6 linked regions of the Ovis aries genome follow. The protein of the gene in region 5 purifies or fractionates together with the protein of the main gene of each other region. This does not show direct contact. Links are inferred from orthologs where the notes say so. Each region holds a gene or a part of one and is shown on either strand. Other genes may lie near its edges.

What was found.
Region 1: the proteins of DNAJA2 (region 5) and WDR76 purify together in Homo sapiens (affinity purification with mass spectrometry; 3 studies listed by BioGRID and IntAct, with this or other methods). This does not show direct contact. The link is inferred for Ovis aries from reciprocal best matches to the Homo sapiens genes DNAJA2 and WDR76.
Region 2: the proteins of DNAJA2 (region 5) and NUDC purify together in Homo sapiens (affinity purification with mass spectrometry; 4 studies listed by BioGRID and IntAct, with this or other methods). This does not show direct contact. The link is inferred for Ovis aries from reciprocal best matches to the Homo sapiens genes DNAJA2 and NUDC.
Region 3: the proteins of DNAJA2 (region 5) and PLD2 purify together in Homo sapiens (affinity purification with mass spectrometry; 3 studies listed by BioGRID and IntAct, with this or other methods). This does not show direct contact. The link is inferred for Ovis aries from reciprocal best matches to the Homo sapiens genes DNAJA2 and PLD2.
Region 4: the proteins of DNAJA2 (region 5) and ENDOG purify together in Homo sapiens (affinity purification with mass spectrometry; 3 studies listed by BioGRID and IntAct, with this or other methods). This does not show direct contact. The link is inferred for Ovis aries from reciprocal best matches to the Homo sapiens genes DNAJA2 and ENDOG.
Region 6: the proteins of DNAJA2 (region 5) and LLGL1 purify together in Homo sapiens (co-immunoprecipitation; 3 studies listed by BioGRID and IntAct, with this or other methods). This does not show direct contact. The link is inferred for Ovis aries from reciprocal best matches to the Homo sapiens genes DNAJA2 and LLGL1.

The regions. Positions count from the first base shown.
Region 1 is NC_056071.1:53,288,717-53,292,216, reverse strand, and holds part of WDR76 (WD repeat-containing protein 76), read right to left. Parts: exon of another isoform or gene 3,222-3,500; intron 1,910-3,221; coding exon 1,783-1,909; intron 416-1,782; coding exon 314-415; intron 227-313; coding exon 183-226; intron 1-182. UniProt on the Homo sapiens protein: Specifically binds 5-hydroxymethylcytosine (5hmC), suggesting that it acts as a specific reader of 5hmC.
Region 2 is NC_056055.1:240,000,959-240,003,158, reverse strand, and holds the end of NUDC (nuclear migration protein nudC), read left to right. Parts: intron 1-701; coding exon 702-785; intron 786-878; coding exon 879-997; intron 998-1,423; coding exon 1,424-1,475; 3' UTR 1,476-1,700; downstream 1,701-2,200. UniProt on the Homo sapiens protein: Plays a role in neurogenesis and neuronal migration. Necessary for correct formation of mitotic spindles and chromosome separation during mitosis. Necessary for cytokinesis and cell proliferation.
Region 3 is NC_056064.1:26,424,029-26,427,528, forward strand, and holds part of PLD2 (phospholipase D2), read right to left. Parts: intron 3,455-3,500; coding exon 3,371-3,454; intron 3,229-3,370; coding exon 3,150-3,228; intron 2,378-3,149; coding exon 2,267-2,377; intron 2,069-2,266; coding exon 1,898-2,068; intron 1,531-1,897; coding exon 1,404-1,530; intron 1,204-1,403; coding exon 1,085-1,203; intron 998-1,084; coding exon 884-997; intron 731-883; coding exon 626-730; intron 416-625; coding exon 327-415; intron 208-326; coding exon 94-207; intron 1-93.
Region 4 is NC_056056.1:7,612,685-7,616,835, forward strand, and holds the start of ENDOG (endonuclease G, mitochondrial), read right to left. Parts: upstream 2,801-4,151; 5' UTR 2,769-2,800; coding exon 2,262-2,768; intron 1,110-2,261; coding exon 1,000-1,109; intron 1-999. UniProt on the Homo sapiens protein: Endonuclease that preferentially catalyzes the cleavage of double-stranded 5-hydroxymethylcytosine (5hmC)-modified DNA.
Region 5 is NC_056067.1:14,928,216-14,931,715, forward strand, and holds part of DNAJA2 (dnaJ homolog subfamily A member 2), read right to left. Parts: intron 2,027-3,500; coding exon 1,946-2,026; intron 1,714-1,945; coding exon 1,580-1,713; intron 38-1,579; coding exon 1-37. UniProt on the Homo sapiens protein: Co-chaperone of Hsc70. Stimulates ATP hydrolysis and the folding of unfolded proteins mediated by HSPA1A/B (in vitro).
Region 6 is NC_056064.1:34,155,518-34,159,017, forward strand, and holds part of LLGL1 (lethal(2) giant larvae protein homolog 1), read right to left. Parts: intron 3,200-3,500; coding exon 3,102-3,199; intron 1,310-3,101; coding exon 1,228-1,309; intron 1,138-1,227; coding exon 1,007-1,137; intron 1-1,006. UniProt on the Homo sapiens protein: Cortical cytoskeleton protein found in a complex involved in maintaining cell polarity and epithelial integrity. Involved in the regulation of mitotic spindle orientation, proliferation, differentiation and tissue organization of neuroepithelial cells.

The sequences.
Region 1 (3,500 bases), on a different chromosome or scaffold from region 5:
GTCCCAGTGGTTTTGTATGCAGCAATATTTGAAAGGAAATACACAAAGTCAACAGTTGTTAGGGTAGAAACATGATGGATAATTCTTTTCACCTCATTTTCAAATTTCCGCCAATAGTATATAGTCTTTATAATTTAAAGATCTCAGGAAATGCAAAACAAAGGCAAGGGATTTTAACTCACCTTTTAATGTTAGATAATTCTTTCTTAGTGTTTTTACTTCTTGTCTGAAACAACGGGAGAAACCAAAGTACTAAATTAACATACGTACTGAAATTTGCTTAAAAGCTTGGATTTACCCTCCCAAGTGATACCTTGCTCATTTCTGCCCAAGTCTGCAAAAATCCTTTGAATAGTTCATTGTCATCATCTCGATTTTCAGGAGTCATTTCTAAAGGCCCAGGAGGTATCAAAGGCTGTTATAAAAAATAGGAAAAGAAAAAAAACACTTGGTTGTCACTCTGCCTTAGAATTCAAGCTTGAGGTTTCTCTTTACTTTCAATATCCACTAAGGGGTGACATATAGTTAGCAATCAAAAACAGTTGTTCAGTGAATGAATGCCAAGTATCCTGTAAAGTAAAAACATGTATTATCTCATTTAATTCCCTTAACAATCCAGTGAATGAGATATCACATTTCAAAGACAGTGGAATGAAACAGAGAAGTTAATTTGTCCAAAGTTACACTGCCCATAGAGTTGCTTGGAATTGATTCAGATCAGTTCAATTTCATTACTCAAGTTATTACTCTGTATCATTTTTTATATCAGGGATTATAACCCACAAGTCATGAAATCATTTTAATATGTTATAACCAACAGTGCGCTTTATTGAATGAGAAAAGAATAGACCAGAAAATACAAAAGTACATCATATGTAGTAAGGGTTAAGTATCATTTCACAAAAGGTTTGTTTCAGTTTTGTGTGTGTGTGTCTGTGTGTGTGTGTGTGTGCGCACCCATGCGTGCACACGGAGTGGATTCAATGTAAGTTATTTCTTATCATGGATGCATAGAGGCTTCAAAAAATGAGCTACTCTCTCCGTAGCAACTTAATTTCCAATTAGCTCTCAAAGCACCATGCTAATGAGTACTATCTTCCAAGTTATAATTAAGCACTTAGATATAAAGTATTTAAAAAGTAGATGCTCCTGAATAAAAAATAATCTTACTCAGACAATAAATTTGGTAAATAAAACTCTTTCCAGTCACTGACAGCATAAATTAAACCACAATATAGGACCTCCATCATTATTATCACATATTATTATTAATATTACCATTTATTGCTTACTAAGTAATATAATACATTCAATATAATGTAAGAACCTTTATCCGTCATACCACCCCTTGTGAGAGGTTTCTGTTATTGTTGCTGTTTTAAAAATAGGGAACCTGGGGCTCAGAATGGCTAAGCAATTTACCCACAATCCGACATAGGTAAGTCTGCAGAAGTATATAATCCGGTCTTTCATGAGTTTGAAATCTTACTCATTAAACCATATTAGTTAGTTCAGTCTCTCAGTCGTGTCCGACTCTTTGTGACCCCATGAACTGCAGCACGCCAGGCCTCCCTGTCCATCACCAACTCCCGGAGTCCACCCAAACCCATGTCCATTGAGTTGGTGATGCCATCCAACCATATTAAACCATATAACAGTCAAGTATTAAATTAATGAAGTACAAATTAAACATACTTTACTGACTTTTTACTCTATTTTCAAACACTTCAAATTTTTCAGTATTTTATTGATTTAGTATATTATATTTGCACTCTTTCTTACATTTTCTTCTACTTCTAATTCGGTCTGGGTTGGGGCTGCTGGCAATGGGACTCCTGAAGGATCAACTTTTAGTAATCGCATTGACCTTCTACATCCAGTTCCATTTTCTTTTTTCTTGGGTTTCTTCCTGAGGAGTGGAAGGAAAATCATGTTATACTCATAAATGAGTTATATGGATTTATTACTACCAAGGAGAAAACTTCTAGTAGTGTATCTCACACATATAGTCAAACACTGCAAAGATATATATACATACCTACACTAATTTTAATTTAAAGTTTGGAAACATGTAACTATTCATTATGGGGAGGTAAGGGATATTAAATTAAGACATACATATTTAGTCAACTATTAAGCAGCCATAAAAAAGAATGAAATAGATCTTTATGTGCAACGACATGAACCCTAAGATATAAGATGCAAAAGAGAAGGTACAGTAGATGTTGAATATGGTTACATTTGCTTTTTCACAAAATACATACATGTACATTTGTAACTGGTGAGATTACCAATGGAAGAATATCCATGAAAATATTAACAGTGGATTACTCTAGGGAGAAGGGTGGAGAACTAAGGTCCAAACTTACAAAAAAAAAAAAAAAAAAGACAACTATTTCATTGCATTTGCTTCCATATAGTCTACCTTGTAAAATCATAGATACCCTACTTTTTATTTATTATTTTTTCATTTAAAAAAGTAGTTCAGAGGCTTCCATGGTGACTCAGTGGTGGGGAATACACATGCCAGTGCAGGGACGGAGGTTCAATCCCTGGTTTGGGAAGATTCCACCTGCTATGCAACAACCAAGCCTGTGTCCTGCAGCTATTAAAGCTCACAGCCTAGAGCCTGTTAACTGCAATTACTGAACTCATGAACCAAGACAACTGAACTCATGCACTCCAAAATACATGCTCTGTAACAAGAGAAAAAAAAAAAAAAAACCTGTGCACAACAAAGACTCAGCACGGCCAATAAATGAATAAATAAATAAAATTAAAATTAAGCAATTATGAAATAAAAACAATGTGCTTTTGGACTTCCCTAGAGGTACAGTGGATAAGAATTCCTCCTGACAACACAGGGTATACGGGTTGGATCCCTGCTCAAGGGAGATTTCACACCACAGAGAAAGAAACTAAGCCTGTGTGCCACAACTACTGAGCCCACGTGCCGCAACTACTGGAGCCTGCTTGCCAAAAGTCTAGGCTCCACAACAAGAGAAGCCACCACAAACAGAAGTGTACACACCACAGCGAAGAACAGACCCTACTCACAGCAACTGGAGAAAAGCCTGCCCAGCAACAAAGACCCAGCACAGCCAGAAGTAAATAGACTAAATAAAACTATGAAAAAATAATTATCACCAGCCAAAGTTAATTTTTAAAAACTGTTCAGAACTACCCTGGTGCCTTTTTGCCCGACATCTTAGCGAGGCAGCAGTGGTTGCAGCTGCTCTCCGGGCTTCGCTATGCCGCCCAAGGACGACAAGAAGAAAGATGCCGGAAAGTCGGCCAAGAAAGACAAAGATCCAGTGAACAAATCTGGAGGCAAGGCCAAAAAGCAGAAGTGGTCTAAAGGCAAAGTTCAGGACAAGCTCAATAACCTAGTCTTGTTTGACAAAGCAACATATGACAAACTCTGTAAAAAAAGTTCCCAACTATAAGCTTGTAACTCCAGGTGTGGTCTCTGAGAGACTGAAGACTCGTGGTTCCCTGGC
Region 2 (2,200 bases), on a different chromosome or scaffold from region 5:
CCCCTGCCTTGGGAGTTCAGAGTCTTAACCACTGGACCCACCAGGGAAGTCCCTCCATTAGGTTTGTATCAATACAAGCATTCAGTTCAGCAAATACTTGAACACCTACTCATGCCAGAGACTGTTCTAAGTGCTGGAGGGAAAACAGTGAACCAGACGTAGAAAGCTATGCCCCTCTGGAAGCCCGCGTTCTCCCCTCTCAGAGAACTGGGATGCAGACCCCAGTAAGTGAACATGGGCTCTGTGAAGCGCCAGGGTCCAAGGAAAGAGTCCCATGGCATGTACTGCCTGGCCCAGCCTACCTGACCCCCTTGGCTGCCTCTCACTCACCCCTCTGTGCCCTTGCCCTTGCATTTCCTCCCACCTGGAATGTCCTTCCCTGCTTTTTAACGTGGTTCACGCGTGTCGTTTAAGGCCCAGCCCTGTGTGTCATCCGAACCTCTCCCTCCACCTGATGAGTATCTCCCTCTGTACTTTATTCTTTCCGTTATCATGCTGACTGTCTCCGTGTCTGTCTCCCCCAGCCACCGGGGAGGGCAGAGGTCTTGCCTCTCTGCCCCTAGGTCCCAGTTCAGGCCTTGTAAGTCCCTGATGCAGGATGTGGCTGGGAGAGAGTTTGGTTCTGGAAGAGCTGGGGGGTGGTCACCAGGGTCCAGAGTGAGCCACCACCCGTCCCCGGGTGGCCCTCCTCTTCCTCTCAGATTAACAAGATGGAGTGGTGGAGCCGCTTGGTATCCAGTGACCCCGAGATCAATACTAAGAAGATAAACCCCGAGAACTCCAAGGTGAGCCCAGGCTGCTTGGAGGAGCTGCGGTCGGGAGGTTTGGGGCCTGGGTGGCCCCAGGCCTTCACCCACCCTGTCACTGTCTGCCCCCAGCTGTCAGACCTGGACAGTGAGACCCGTAGCATGGTGGAGAAGATGATGTACGACCAGAGACAGAAGTCTATGGGGCTGCCTACCTCCGATGAGCAGAAGAAACAGGAGATTCTGAAGAAGTGAGCGATGCAGAGATGGGGGTTTGGGGGAGGTGTCTACGGCTGGGACCTGGGTGACAGTGGCAAGTGTTTACTGAGCAGAACACAGGAGCTGCCCCGCCCCTTCCAGGATGAGCCAGCCAAGTTTATGGCTTTATAGCCTTGGCTTGCCTCCCCTAATCACTTACTGAGGTCATCTTGAGGGCAAGGCCACCACAGGATAGGAAAGGGTAACAGGCGGTCACAGTTTCCAACAGAAAAAGCAGTGCCGGTGTTGGCACCTCAGCATCCAGCCTTGGGGAGACCTTGGGGGCCCCACTCCTGTCTGGCATGGCTCCGGGTTGCTGAGAGCTGTAAACAGATGAGACCTCATGTTGGAGGCTGAGAGAAAGGGACAAATTTAGGGAGACGGATGGCCTGTCTCACCTTCCTGCTTTGTCTCTGCAGGTTCATGGATCAGCATCCAGAGATGGACTTTTCCAAGGCCAGATTCAACTAGCCCCTGTGTTTGCTCCCCTGAACTCTCTAGGCTGAGCTCCCGGCTCCCCACTTTCCTCTCCCACCCTCCCTGGGACTGGTGGGCCACAGGGCCAGGGCAGGCACGGGGCTGGCTGGCACACACAGGTCCCAGGCCATCATGGGAGAAGGGCTGGGGCCTTGGGGGGGGGTCTTGTCCTCCTCAGCTGGCCTGCTGTTACACATTAAAACCATTTACCCAATTCCACTCACGTCTTCTCTTCCCTCTGGCCTTTCTCTGGGGTTCAGGCCTCTTAGGACTGCTGCTGTGACCTGGGGGCTTGACTGCTCACCCAGGCTCTGCTGTGTGATCTAGGGCAAGTCTTTGCCTCTCCCTGGGCTCAGTTTCTCATTACTTAAATAGAGGATCCCGACAAGGCTTTTAGTCTGTGTATGATTTTGAACAAAAGGGGTTGGTTATAGGCACCAAACAATGTCAGATTCTCCAAGGGGCCCATGACTCAGCAGCACTTAAGACCAGCCTGACTTGATTTCCATTTTCATCTCTGAGACAATTTCCCACTGCACTGGGTCTGTCCTTTAGTCCTGGAGCAAGTGTTTCTAAAACTATACACTACTTCCCAGAGGCAGAGAGCAAGCAGCAAAGCCTAGGGGCACCGCCTAGGCCTCAGATGGGCTTTGTGTGTGGTGGGGATCTGGCTGGGAAGGCAGGGGGAAGCCCAAAGGAGCCTGTTGTGTGTCTTTGAC
Region 3 (3,500 bases), on a different chromosome or scaffold from region 5:
CAGAAAACAGTCCAGCAAGAAGGGATCAGGATGGGGCCATGGAGGGGCAGAGTCTGGCAGGGGTTAGGGTGGGAAGGGCGAGGCGGTGGTCACCTGTAAGTGAAGTGCAGAATGGCCTGGATGGAGTTACCACCACCTGTGGAGATGTCACCCTCGAATCCAGGGAGGAGGGGCAAAAGCACGTAGACTCGGAAGCACTGCCCCTGTCTGGAGAGGGGCGGAGTCAGCGGTGTGACCCGTCTCCCAAGCCCCACCCCTCCCCTCATCCCTCTGGTTAGTCTTAAAACACGCCCATAACCCCCAGGTTCCAAGCTGGTCCGCCTTACTTGTGGGCCTTCAGGATTCTGTCCACAATCTCATCGCCCACCTTGTTCAGCACCGTCCGCCCATCTGAGCAGCTAATGAAGAACTGATTCTGGAGCAGGGACGAATGACAGACGTCAGCAGTCCGGCCGCCGTCAGCAGTTCCTGCCCTCAGCTCCATGTCGCCATCCCCCTCCCCAGGCTCCCGGCCCTGGGTCCAGGCTTCACCAAGTTCTCCAGGTCCAGCTATGCCAGCCCTAAACGACTGAGCCCACTGACAGGATATCCTAAGTTTCTCTGCTCCACCCTCACTCCGACAGACCTCAATGTAGAGGAAGTGCCGGCTCTCTCTGATGGTGTGCAGATAAGCATTGAGAATGGAGTTCTCCAGGGTGCCCGCTGACCAGCGGTCCACTGACCGCAAGACCTGCGGGAACGACGGATAGGATGTGCCTCCTGAGTCCAGGAGAGGAAGGGGTTCGGGGGCGGGGGCGGGAGGGCGCTCTCCGTCAGGGAGAGTGCTGAAGCGAGGTTGCGCTGAAGGGAGCGGGGAGAGGGCCGGCTGAATTCCGAGCCTCACCTGCACAGTGGCGCACTGCCCTCCGGAAAGCGTGAAAGGGAGCTGGTTTGCGGTGCTGGTGGATTTGGGCAGCAGGTAGGGGTACATGGGTATCTTGTACTTGGCCTTGGTAGTCTAAGGCGGAGGGGTGGCAGAATCAGCGGGAGATGGCTAGCTGCCCCTGGCTCCCGCCCACCCTCCAGGCTCGGAGGGATCAGGCACCTTGGTGAAATTCCAGCGCTGGATGAAGTGCCGGGCAAGGTCCCGGGCGGGTGAGCCGTGGACCGCCACCCCAATGTCCCGCCATGGCATCCGTGGCATAGTCTCCCTGTCAATGAAATCTGGGGGGAGGGAGAATGTCCCAGGAGAGTCAGGGAAGAGGTCAGGGACGGTCCCTTGGGAACACGTGGGTCAGGGAGGAGGAGGTGCTGACCGGAGAAGAGGTGGCATTAAGACCCGGTTCATCCCATCCTCAGACCCAGGCCCGCCCTCTGCCCCGGCTCCCAGCTCTTAGGGACTTTGAAGAAGGTGGACCCCCTACCATCAAAAGGCCGATCCAGCTGCACCCAATCTTTAGTGATCAGATTGCTGTAGTCCTTGCCCAGCCAGAAGAGTTGGTTGTGAGTGAGGTCGGGGGTAGCTGGAAGGTCTGAGCGTGAGGTGGGAGGCTGTAGGGGGAACACACCCAAGCCAGGGGCAAGGAGAGGTCATGGGTCACACAGAGCCAGGCCAAAGAGAAGAAAGGAGCACTGGAAGACGGGAAGACAGAGAGACACACAGAGGAAGAATGAAACAGAGAGAGTTTGATTCCCTGGCCCTCCCCTTCAGATGCATTTGAAATCCCTAGAGAAATGGGTAGAGGTCATGGGGAGGCAACTGAGTCAGTATATTCAAAGCAGGTTGTTGGGGTCCCAGAAAGGCACAGGAACTTTGAATGAGGGCTATGACTGGAGAGGAAGGCTGCAGCTGGGAAGGGGTATGGATTTACATTAGTTGAGTTGGGGGGGTGTGCTCCGGAAGGCCTTGGGGGATTACCTGGGGGGCAGCTGACTCAGAGGAATCCCCCAGATCAGTCAGTCTGTAGTGTAGGTCATCCCAGCGGCCGTAGGCGAGGTCCAGCCCACCCAGGAAGGCCACTACTTGGTCTACCACCAGGAGCTTCTCATGATGGGCCCACAGTGTCACCTGGTCTGGGTGGCGCATCACCTGGAGCAGGTATGGGGGAGTTCATGAGTGTGGGCGTAGGTGGGAGAAGCCAGAGGCAGCGTTTGGAGGAGGCAGGGAACAGGAAGATGGAAAGATGAGACGTTCAAGGACAAGGAGGGTTGGTGGCTGGGGGGGGGGGGGTGGGGGGATGTGTAGTGAGGAGGGCCAGAAGGGAGGGGTCTCTGGGGCCTGAGTCACCTTTATGTTGGGGTGCAGCAGCATCAGTACCCTCTTGCTGTAGCCACTGTTGATGGCCAAGGCCAACTCCACTTCCTTGAACAGCAGTACAGACACTCGGACACCCTCCTCCTGGTGGTCAGTGAGGGAATCAGATCCTAATGACCCTTTCCCACCCTCAGGGTTCCTGGATGTTCCTCCTCTCCACCCAGAGATCCTCAATGCTATGCCACTGACACCCTGTTTTGATGCTTACAGCAAACTTAGATTGAATATCATCTATCTGCTCACTCACTCATCCATCCACACATCTACCCACCTACCTAGCATTATCTAGCCATCCATCTTCCCAACAATTTACTCATCCCTTATCTACCATCTGTCACTCATCTATCTATTTACCACTCTCCTTGGATCTACCTTCCCAACCTCATAGCCTTCTATCTCCCTTTCCATCATCTATCCATCCCCTCACCCACACACTCTCCATCATCCGCATATCTTTCCTCCCATCCATCACCATCTCTGGATGCTCCCAACATAGCAGACACTGTGCCTTGTACTGCAGCTAGTGGTATTCATCCACCCAATGAGAGAGACAGATATGTCCATCCCCCATAACAGAATTGAGTGTATAGGGTATTGGGAGGAAAGTCTACATCAAGGAGAGGAAGGGCAAGAACAGGGAGGTTGGTCTTCTTCTCTAAGGGAGTTCTCCCCAGGGAAGTGGAAGAGGTGATTTCTGTGAGACTGAACCAGGATGGGTACATTTCCTCCACCTCAAGTTTTAGATTCCTTACCTTCCCCCCCTACCCCCCGCCATGCTATAGTCTCTTCCAACCAATCTCCACCCACAAGCCACCCCTTGACCATACCTCCCCTCCAGCCAGACCATTCTCCTCACCGCCTTCTTCTTGAGCATAACGTCCAGTCTCCAGTCATCTGAATGGGCTGGACGCTTCAGGTAAATCTCAGGACTCAACCTGGGATTCAGGGCAGCAGGTGAGGGTAAGCTAAGCTCCCAACAACAGCCACTCCTCCCCTTCCACTCCTTTTCTGACCCATAAGCTGATCTGTTGCAGGTACTAACCCACACTTTCTTGCTCAGGTTCTTCTCCCACTTACCACCAGTCTGTGATGAAAATCTCTTCTTGAGCTCGCAGGATGGCATCTGCCACAGCAGCAAAGTAACCTGCCCCATTCACAAACCTGGGGGGAGGCCAAGCCAAGGAGATCAGGGAAGTCAGAAGCCAGA
Region 4 (4,151 bases), on a different chromosome or scaffold from region 5:
CATTTCAGCAGGCCAGAGGAGGCACTGGCTAATTAAAGTGTATCAGTGCCTCGGCAAGCCTGTGCTGAGTCCTTACTACGGTGACATCCACTATCCCACTGTCCCTTAAGCAACCATGTGGTAGATAACGGGTATTATCCCCATTTTAAGGAGAGGATGTTGAGGTTATTTGCCCAGGGCACCCAGAGACTGAGGCTTCGCTGGTGGCTCAGTGGTAAAGAATTCGCCTTGCAATGCAAAAGAATGCGGGTTAGATCCCTTGGTCGGGAAGATCCCTTGGAGAAGGGAATGGCAATTTCCCAGTATTCTTGCTTGGGAAATCCCATGGACAGAGGAGCCTGGCGGGCTACATCAAGTACCTCCTACAGTAAGTAGCCCACCAGGCTCCTCTATCCATTAGATCACAAGGGTCGGACACAACTGAGCGACTAAACAACAGCAAACCCAGAGACTAGGTGACAGGGCCTGGGTTCCGACCCCAGCAGAGCCAGCTGCTTGGCCACAGTCCCCTGCCCCACTCATCCCAGTCCTCAGCAGAAAAATCACCCAGCAAGCCCAGGGGAGCTCAGTCCCTTACATCTGGGAGGCCGGGCAAGCCGCACAAGGGCAAGAGTGAAGGCTTGGTTAGGAAGACACAGTTCAAAGCTGGCTCACAGTTCAAAGCTGGCTTCAAGAAGGGATGCCCCCAGCAGAGGAGACTGAAGGTGAGAACCCCGTGCAAGGGTTGCTATCTGGGCAGAACATGAGTTAGGTGGATGTGACAAGAGAGAACATAGAGGAACAAGGGCAGATTCAGGGCCTGGTACACACAGGCAGAGATGTGGGTACCCCCAAAGTCTCTGTAGAGTAGAATTGGGGAGCTCAAGGTAGGGGATGGGCAGACTTTCCCAGGAACCAGATGAATGGGGACCTAGCGGTGTTGACACAGAGCCTGGGGGGAGCCTGGTTGGGCTGACCGGGAGGTGCCGCTGTCCCCAGGCCCCCCAGCTCTAGCCTTACCTGGGTAGGAAGAGTGGCCCCGTGCAGACATAGACATTTTGGTAGGTGCGGGTCAGACTGCGGCTGTACTTTTCCAAGTTGTTCCAGGCATTCTGGTTGAGGTGGGGCACCTGGCAGGAGAGGTGGGCTTCAGTGAGACTGGCTGGGACACTTGTAGTCAGAGGGCTGCCGCAGGCTTAGGGGCAGGCACTAGCACAGAGCCAGAAGGTTCCAGCAGCGGAGTGGGGATGGGGACAAGCATACAGAGGAAAGGGAGGTTCATGGAAGGAGAGTCACTTGGCCCAAACAGAGCTCACAGAGGTGCTAGCTGCCCCCAACCCAGATTGGGAGATCTAGCATCCCAAGTCTCCAAGCTGTTTCTCAGCCCCAAAGAGCAGGATGAAAGGGCAAATCTCCCAGAGAGAAAGAGGCTTGCTCCTGCCCCAGGAGCTCATGGGAAGACCAGCTCTTTCAATCATCTCTCCCTTCCTTCTCCAAAGTCTGAACTGCAGAGCCCAGCAGGGAAGGTCAGAAATCTGACTCCACCACCTGAGCTCTCAGGTCCTCGGCACAGTGTCCAGTCAAATGGGTGGGGGTCTCTGCTCCTGGGTGAGCACGTCAGCTCAGAAGCTGGGACCTCACAAGTCTCACTCAGAGCCCCACCATTCATCTCCACATGGGTGTCAGGCCCTGGTGGGAACAGGGCTAGAGGAAGGTCGGCTAGTCCAGGGTGCACAGTGACTGCTCCTAACAGCCACTGCGGGCACCTATTTATCCTTTTACTCCTGGAGGGCAGGCAGGGTAGGGCGATGGATTAAAAAAAGCTCAGGGTCCCCTAGACAGACTGCCTAGGTCTCCTCCCACGGTGTGACCCTGGGTCGGTCACTTTGTCTCGCTGAGACTTTCCTCATTATAGCTCTTATTTACTAAACGCTTGCCAAGAACCAGGAAGCGTGCCCGGTACTTTTATGTATGTAGACCGTTATCTTCAGTTCCTCGGCTCTACTGCAAGAGGCAGGTGAATAACAGTTTCATCCTGATTTCAGGGAGGCGCCCAGGGCCCTCGGGTTAAGATCAGAGCGCAATGGGTGCTCAGCGCCCCACTGCTCCATCCCTCCCGCAGGCGGCGCGCGGTGCGTGTGGCCAGGCGCCTGACCTAGAGGGCGCACAACTCAGCACTCTCCCATTCTGCAAAGAGGAAAATCAAGGCTTAGAGGCGAGCACTGGCCTCGGGTTTCGCCGCCGGGGTGGGGGGTGGGGGCGGGGGGCGGCGTAGGCGCTACCTGGGGCGCGACGTTGCTCAGGTAGAAGGTGTCGTCCATTGCTTTCTGGCTCCAGCGGTGGTTGGCCGCGGCAGCAAGGTGGCCGCGGTCGAAGCCGCTGCCGCGGTAGTCGGCGTTGGTGGCGCGGTGGTACGCATGCACCGAGTCGTCCTCGTGGAAGTCGCAGGAGCTGCGGTCGCCGTCGCCGCGGAGCCCCTCGGGCCGCAGCTGCTCGACCACCCAGAGCGCGCCGCGGGTGCGCGGGTCGTAACACAGCACGTACGACGCGCGGCTCTTGAGCTGCGCCACCCCGGGCAGCCCATACTTGGCCAACTCGCCCGGGCCGCCACCCGCGGGAGCCCCGGGCACCGCGGGAAGCCCCGCCGCCGCCGCCACTGGCAGCACCGGCAGCCGGCTCAACAGCCCCGGCGTCGCCCGCGCGTCGGCCCACTGCCGCCGCCAGCCCTCGGCAGCTGCACCCAGCCCTGCGCCCAGGGCCACAGTCAAGCCTGCGCGAAGCAACTGCATGGTCGCGGATGGTGGCCGGGGCCCGCGACGCTGAAGGGACGCCGCGACCTCCGGCGTCCGACCTGAAGGCTCTTAAAGGGGCCGCACAGGCCTGCGGGGGCCTACCACGGGGATGGAGCGGAGCGGAGGCGTGAGATGGCGGAAAGTGCGCCCCTCCACTCACGAACGCTCCGAGGTAGTGTCCAGTCCACAGTTGCGGGTCGGTGCCCACCTAATTGAGGACCGGACTTCTTTGCCCCTTTAGGACGCGGAGTAGAGGGGAGGGGCGTGGCATCACCACCACGGCTCATGATTGGCCGTCTCGGAACCGGCTCCGCCCCACTCCGGCCCCCTCGGTCTCCACGGAGGTTCCCTCCTACTCCGCAAAGATCCCGGAAAAAAAAAAAAAAAAGTTCTTAGCTCCTAATTTACACGAATGAACTGGGAAAACAAATCAGGAATGCAAGCATCCCCTACCGTATTCCTTATGATAGAGGCCGGGGAATAAGATACTCAGAAACAGGGACTGGTTTTGGACATTTTTAGCACATCAGATAGAATATGTCATAAAAATATTTTAAAATCATACAGTAGCTTGCTCACCAGCTAAGGTAATGGTGGTGGTGGTGGGTGGGTGGGGGGGTGGAGACAATACACAAAACTCTGAATCAAGAAAATGACTATCAATGTTATCAAGTATCTAATAAAAATTACATCTGCAAAGAAAACACCAACACGTTACAAGTGATTTTCTGCAGACAGTGGACTATAAATGACTTGTTGAAGTTCAACTTTTTTCAAAGAACTTACTATGAAATCACAATGTAATACCTCTGCCCCATTGCATACTCTCCTCCCATCAGCTGTAAACTGCAGGTGCTTAAGAAGAGTTGAACAGGCTCTTTTGGACAAATTCCTAGCCTTTTCCTTTAATCACTCTAAGAACCTCCTGACTTTCTGCTCATTTTTTTTTTTCCTGTTCTGAGGTCTCAATGGTTTCAGCCCATCACAGAACCAACACCTACTGCAAAGAACACGATTTATTAAAGACAACTTGTCATCAACAGCATTGATTCAAAAGAACAAAACAGATGAAAAAACAAAAGCAGACTAACATTCTGACCCTTGGAGTGAGACCTGAATTCATTCAGCTTATTCTGTACATGTCCAAAGTCCTGGGGGAGCTTCCAAGTAGGAAGCCTGGGAGTCTCTGGCTCTTGGGGCCTCCCTTGAGAGTCTGGGGTGGGGTGAGGGGCGGGGTGGGGGGGATTGCCAAGGGCAGGTCCTCCCACTGGGGGAGATTGCCAAGGGCAGGTCCTCCCACTGGGGGAGCTCAGTCTAACCTGGGTATGGTCCCTGTGCTCTTTTGACCTTTCTCACAAGGCCAAGGAGAGGGCACTGGAC
Region 5 (3,500 bases):
CATTTTTTACAGCGGTCCTTTTCATTAATTACCTCTCCTGGAAAAAGAGGTCATTCAAACTTCCAGCAAGGGTACTATGTTGCACTCTTAAGTAAGACAGGTCCTGATAACGCCTTTATTCACTAAATAAATTTCCTGTACTTCTTTAAACTGCTACCTGAACTTTTCATGAACATTCTTAGGAACAAAACTCACATCTTACTGCAGATTACCTAAAGGACCCAGCTACTCTATTCCAGAGTATAAAATATCTTAAATAACATTATCTTACCTCCTGACACTACTTCCTAAAGTTAAAACAAAGCCTGAGGATCAAGCAAACAAAACGGGTGGTCAGACACTAGAACTTCTACAAATGCTTCACTTTTTGTCTTAGTTTCATTTAAATTTGACAATGGAGTGACAACCCAAATAAAAATTTAAACATCCTTTATGACTCCAACAGTTTTTTCTTCCATGTATTCTGAAATATTTGATCAGTGGCATAATAAAATAAAACTGAAGTCATACAATAGTATATCATGAAAAAGATACCATCAATTTATAATGGCTGATTATTGGCACACTTTAATGCTTAGGTAACATAAATGACTTTAGGAACACTGCTTCTGCAAGGTATGTTCTGCAAAGCACCAGTTCCTTAAAATGGTAATGGCACATGGGAAAAGATTTCAATCAACTCCAACTTCTTGAGTGGGAAATGTCAGCAACTTTAATAAGGTAAAATGCATTAAGACTCTTCAGGAGGGAAATATGGTATGTGGCTTCTCAAAATTATCTTGTCACTTTCAGAAGCAATTTGGAAAAGGGTGTTCTAGAACTGTCCAATATAGCAGTCATTAGCCACTTGAGGTTATTTAAGTTTAAAATAATTAAGAGCTCAGTTCCTCAGCCACACCCAGGTGGCTAGTGGCTACTACAGTAGCCATTACATACATAGAACCTTTCCAGCACAGAGAACTTCTTTTGGGCAGCACTGCTCTAGAACTGGGCCGGCAAACTAAGGCTTGCAGGCCAAGCTGGGCATGCCTTTGTTTCTGTAAATACTGTTTATCCAGAACACAGTCATGCCCACTTATTTACATATTATCTCTGGCTATAAAAGTGCTAAAAGGGTAGAAGAGTAGCAGTTTCAAAAACCATTAACCTACAAAAACCTAAAATATTTACTTCTGTAAAATAAGCTTCAATTATAATGATCTATCCTCAAAAGCTAACTAAAGTTTACAGTAAAATACTCCACTTATCAGAATGAGAACTAAACAATTTGCTGTCTCCCTTTTACATTTTAAAACATAAAGGATAAGTAAATAACAATAAAATACAAAAGGACAAAAAACTTTGCCCATCTTTTTGGAAAAAGACTAACATTCCACTCAACGTAATATAAATTTACTGTTTATTGGTGTTCACTGGGCCTATGCAAAAGGAAATAATATTTTTGCATTTTTAAAAATAACTACCTTTTACAATATGATGAATATAAAAACACGTTGAAAAAGAAAAACTGTAAGCCTCTCCAATTTCTGCATTCCCAATCCACCCCAACAGAAAGGCAGAGAAACACTGGCATGCATACCTTCTCCATTACAGTCAGAACACACAGACTGCATCTGCTGTACCATCCCTGGAGCCAGCTGTCTGATCATGATGCGCACACCTCGACCCCGACAAGCACTACACTTCTGAACAGCTCCAGACTTCCCACCTTGGCTAAAGCAAGCAAAAGTATAAATTAGATTTTCCCCCTCTAGGTCATCAAAAATGGGAATTGTGCTTTTTACTTTCATCTTCAACCCCCTTTTAACCAACTTTCAGAGGTATCAGAAACTGTTCTGGGTTGGGTAGTCACTTTGAAATCATGAATAGTTTTTATTTGATATAGACTCAATATGTGACTCAAACAACAGATGACATTTATTTCATAACCAGGAAACACACTCACCCACTGCAAGCACTACAGAGTACATTCTTGCTAAGTTGTAGTTTGGTTGTCTTGCCATTATACAGGTCTTCTAAAGATACTCTGTGGAGAAAAGAATTAGATTCAAATTTTGCCAATTTGTCTTAAATACAAGAAAGGATTAGCTGATACAGCTAATTTCACTATAACCTTTTAAACAAAGAATTCAAGAACATCTTATATTAAGTCAACTGAGTGAGATTTTATTTTGTAGCTCAAATTGTTTATGGCCATAAATACAGGTGGTACTTAAAGCCGGAATGTAAAGGATCAGGCCAATAATTGACTGTGCTGTATTTTCTGATAAAGCTGATAACTACACAAATTCAAAACATCACACCTTCTTCTAGCCTTAGACAAAACCTTCACCTAATCCAACCCTTTGAATGAAGCAAAATTATTATCCTCATCTTAGAGGACAAAACTGAGGCACAGAGAGGTTAAGTAACTTGCCCAAGATCACACATGCAATCTAGCTCCGGAGTTCATGCTCTACTGTAAGCCTCTGTTCAGAAAGGCTACAAAGTTATATTACAATTTCTGGGAGACACTCAGATTGGGTATGTCTTAAAGAAAAGAAAAACAAAAAACAAAAACCTGGCTTTATTACACTGTAACAGAGAATAGGTTTCCAAATAGAAAGCCTACAAGCTTTCAATGTCTGAAACACCCAGAGAATTATAAGCAAAATTTGAGCAACTTTTACAAAAATTTCAAAGGGGTCCATGACCCCCAAATGGTCTAGATAAAAAGCCTATTAAAAATCCCAATTGATAAACCCCAACTTGCTTTTATTCACACAACATATCTGAACTGCAGGACTATTCATTTTCAAACAAACCTCAAAAAAAATCTATATCAAAGTCTCAAAAATATTCATTTACAACTTGGAAACAGCTTGCATTTAACTTGGTTTTACCCTTCTCATAGTATTTTTAAATCTTTAGTAGTAAAGTGAAACTGAAGTTGCTTAATTTACTTTAAAACAAAGGAACAAAAATATTTTAATTAAATAAAGGAACAAAAAGGTTAAAACTACCTTGCAAAGCACCTACATTATTTTGCAGCATTCGAAGCTAAAATTTTTATCCATTCTAAACAGTGTTAAGAATAAAGCACTTAAGAACAAAAAATTACCAACACTTCTAAACTACGGCATATCTAGACCTTAGACCAAAGTACTTGGTTCCATCAGCCTTTTATCCTCCTCTTCCTAAGAACTTTTAACCAACCATTTACATGATAGGTAGGTCTTCTTTGCCTTACATATTAAATTGCAATTAGTATGCAACACCATTACATAAGAGGTCAGCAAGAAAAATTGTTATTTCAATAAACATGGCAAAGAAAGAAAAATGTGGGTAATGGTCTAGTGAAGCTGGCACTCTCCACCAGTGGAGCTAAACTGACACATCCTCTAAAGACAATATAGTTGTATTTATTTATCAGCCTCAAAACACTGATACCTCCCCAGGAATCTCTACCAATGAGACAAAGCTGTATATAAAGATACAGCAGCACTATTCATTATAGGAAA
Region 6 (3,500 bases), on a different chromosome or scaffold from region 5:
AGGTGAGGGTGGGAGCCTGCACACTTGCTGGGGAGGGCACGGGGGCCCGTGACTGTCAGCTCAATACAGCCCCTCTGGACTTGCTGGGCCCTGGTCATGCAGGGGGCTGGCGCCCAGGAAGGCCACGGTGGTGGCTGCAGACACCATAGCCAGCTCACTCAATTATTCACCAGGACGTCGGCAGGGAGAGGGATAAAAATAGGTCCCCAGGTCTTGGAGACAGGCCCTGGAGCTCTTCCCCCGACCCAGAGGGGATGGCGGCAGGAACCAGCTCCTGCCTAGGCAGGGACCACAAGCTCCAGGACTCTGCCTCCAAGCCCCACCAGGAAGCCCCATGTCTTCAGACATCTCCCTAACCCTGGAGGGGGCCTCCGATCACTCCCCTGCAAGAGCTGGAACACCCCGATCCACACTGGGTCCAAGCCCAAGCAGGACAAGCCTATTTCTGAGCTGGATGGGCATCTTGTGTCCTGGTCAGACTTGCTGCAGCCATTCCAACAAGGGCTTGCGGGCCAGGAACCACAAGGCCCCTTCCTCTCCCCCTGAGCGTTGACGCCCATGCTGTTGCCCCCCGGGGCGTCCCGCCAGCACTTCACAACCAAGGGAAACCCTTCTTGTTATGACCTGCCCTCTCCTCCTTGCACAGTAGGGCCCATTGTCCTGCCCCTGTTTAAGGGTTCAGAGGACCGGTGCTATGGTCAGTTCCTGCCCCAGATGCCCCCCTCACTGCAGGGGCACAGGGCCACTCCCCAGGCTCTGGGACACACCCTCCCCAACCCAGGGCCTCCTGGGCCCCGGCAGTGCCAGGGCACAGACCCTCCCTGCTGACCATGGGCTCACCTGGGACGCCCACAAAGTCCACCGAGCAGCTCTCTGGACCCAGGCCCAGGCCGACGTGCACCACCCCACCCCGAGTCCCAGCCCTGGGGCAGCTTCCTGTCCCCACTGCACCTTCACAGGCCCCTCACTACATCTGGCAGCCACAGCTGGCCAAGCCCCTTGGTACCTGGCGCCGTCAAAGCCAGGCCAACTGGGTGCCTGGAAGTGGAGGGCTTCTTCCAGGTGGGCGCAGCCGTCATGGTGGACAATCTCCCACAGGTGGAGGCTGTCGTCATCCAGCAGGGTCAGGACTCGACCCTGGCGGGTGAGTAAGACCAGGACTAAGCTGACTGGGGTCGGGGACGGGGCAGGGGGTTTCTGGGGGCCGGTAGCGGGGCCGAGGCTCACCTGACCAGGCAGGAAATGCATCTGGGTGACAGTGGCCGCATCTCGGTGCAGGCCCGTGAACTCCACGCCAGGGGCACCGTAGCTGAGGGTGACGGGTCAAGGGTGGAAAGCAGGCACAGGCCAGGACACCAACACCAGGGATCACCTAGCCCCGCCTCCTCAGGACCACTGCATCAGGCCCCCGGTGACACGGGGAGGGGTGTCACCTAGCCCTGTCCAGGGGCCCTCCCAGGTTTGGGGGCTCCTCTCTGGAAGAAGCACTGCACTCAGGATGCAGACCCATTCAGTCCTGCAAGTCAGTGCTGCGTATGGCTTTCCCTTCCTCATCTGTAAAACCGGCCAGTGACTTGCTCGCCTGCCTCCTGGGGCAGACACAGGACACCTAAGAACGCAAGTTCTCCCGGCACACCTGGCCTGGGCCCAGCTCATGGCCCTGTGTCAGCCTCACGGGTCTGTGGGCGCAAGAGGTGGCCTGGCACATTGGCATCATGGGCAGAGATGCCAGGCCCAGGAAGCCGGGGACAGAGCAGAGTCCAGGCTGCCTCTCCACAACCACAGGCCGCTGCCAGCTGCAGGCCAGGAAATTCATGTCCTCGTGGGGCTGGCAGCCCCCACTGAGTTGGGAGAGGCCCCAGGGACTTGGAGAGGTGGATGCCTGACTACAAGTGCCCGGTGTGAGAGCCAGCGTCCCAGCAACCTCAGGCTTCACTGTGGACGGCGGGCCGAGGGGCCCCAAGGGGGAGGACTAGGCTGGGGTCAGCAACGTTGCTGGGAGACAAGGCAGGAGCCGTTGCTTGGAGCTGGAGCCGGGAGAACACAGACAACGGGACAAAAGAGGGGCAGGAGTGCTGGGCGGGAACCAGGTCGCCAGGGAGATGGGCCAGACTGGGGGGTGGAATGGCCCCTGCGGGCAGCCCCAGTTTCCTAACCCAGGGCATGGGCAGGAGCGGTCTGGGGTCGGGGGGCTTGTCCTCCTCTGAGGCCGTCTGGCTGCCCATCCTTTGTCAGCATGAGGGGCTGGTGCACTAGAAAGACCCCACCACCTGCAGAGACACACTGTGCCAGGGAGAAGGGGCCATGGGACCACGGCTCCCACAGGCAGGCAGCAGCTGGAGGCAGGAGCAGCAGGCAGGGAGGGGCCTCCTGGGCAGGCAGCAGCCTGGTGCAGACGACCAGGGGACCGTCTCCTCCCTGTCCCACTGATGCCTCGGTGTCCACGGAAGAGGAGGGGGCACCTAGACCCAGCCCCTCCACTTGGTCCCTGGAGCTGGCAAACTCACAACTGCCCGACCGGTGCCCCGAGTCCCGGATGGGGAGATCCCATCCTACCCTGTGGTGGCCAGCCAGACCCTGCACCTGGGCCCCACCTGGGGGACTCACCTCTTGCAGTGGGGGTGGGCTGCTCCACAGCAGGAAGGAGGCATCCAGCTGCCAACCTCCCCCGCCCCGCCCCTCCCCTTGGAGCTCTCAGGAAAATGGCCCTTTGTGCGGCTCACAGGCCCATTGTGCGGGGCCAGCATCCAGGTGGGGGCTGCGCTGCGCTCGCCACGCCGAGCCTGGCACTGCCCCCAGCCCTCGGCTGGACATACGTGTCTTCAGGCCGGCACACGTGTGCACCCGGTTTCAAGGGTAAGGCCTGCTGTGACTCTGGTCCTCCCGCCACCCTTGCTGGGGACCGTGTGCTGCCAGCCCCGGCCCACCTCCCCAGTCACAGCTGCTGGGACAACGGGAGGGTTGCCGAGGTAACTGGCTGCAGCGATGGGCAGCTGTGGACCCCTTCATCTCTGAGGCGCCGCCTCAGGGCAGCAGCTGCACGACCTCCACCAGGGGCCCAGCCCAGCGCCCCGCACATTAGCCACAATCCCAAAGGATACATCTTGACGGCCCCAGACCGGGTGCCGATGGCCATGATACGAAGCTCAGGGTCAAAGGCCAGCGCACTGGGCTGGTTGGGGAAGCCATGCTCCACGGTCTGCAGGGAGGTGGGGGTGTTTGCAAGGCACAGCCCCCACCCGAGGCCCACCCAAGGCAGTCTCCAACTCTGTCCCTGCTGCATGCCCGGCCCCCCGACCTCAGTGTCCTCAGCTGCGAGATGGATGACCAACTTCCAGAGGGTGAGGAAGGGCCTGAGCCCTGGCCCCACCACAGGCCTTCCCAGCCAAGACCCATCCCACTTGACACTTGGGTCCACGACAACAAACAGAATGGGGCTCGCAAGGGAGGATGCGCGGGTACAGATGCGAACCCCAGCTGCCCCACAGGGTAGGCTCTGC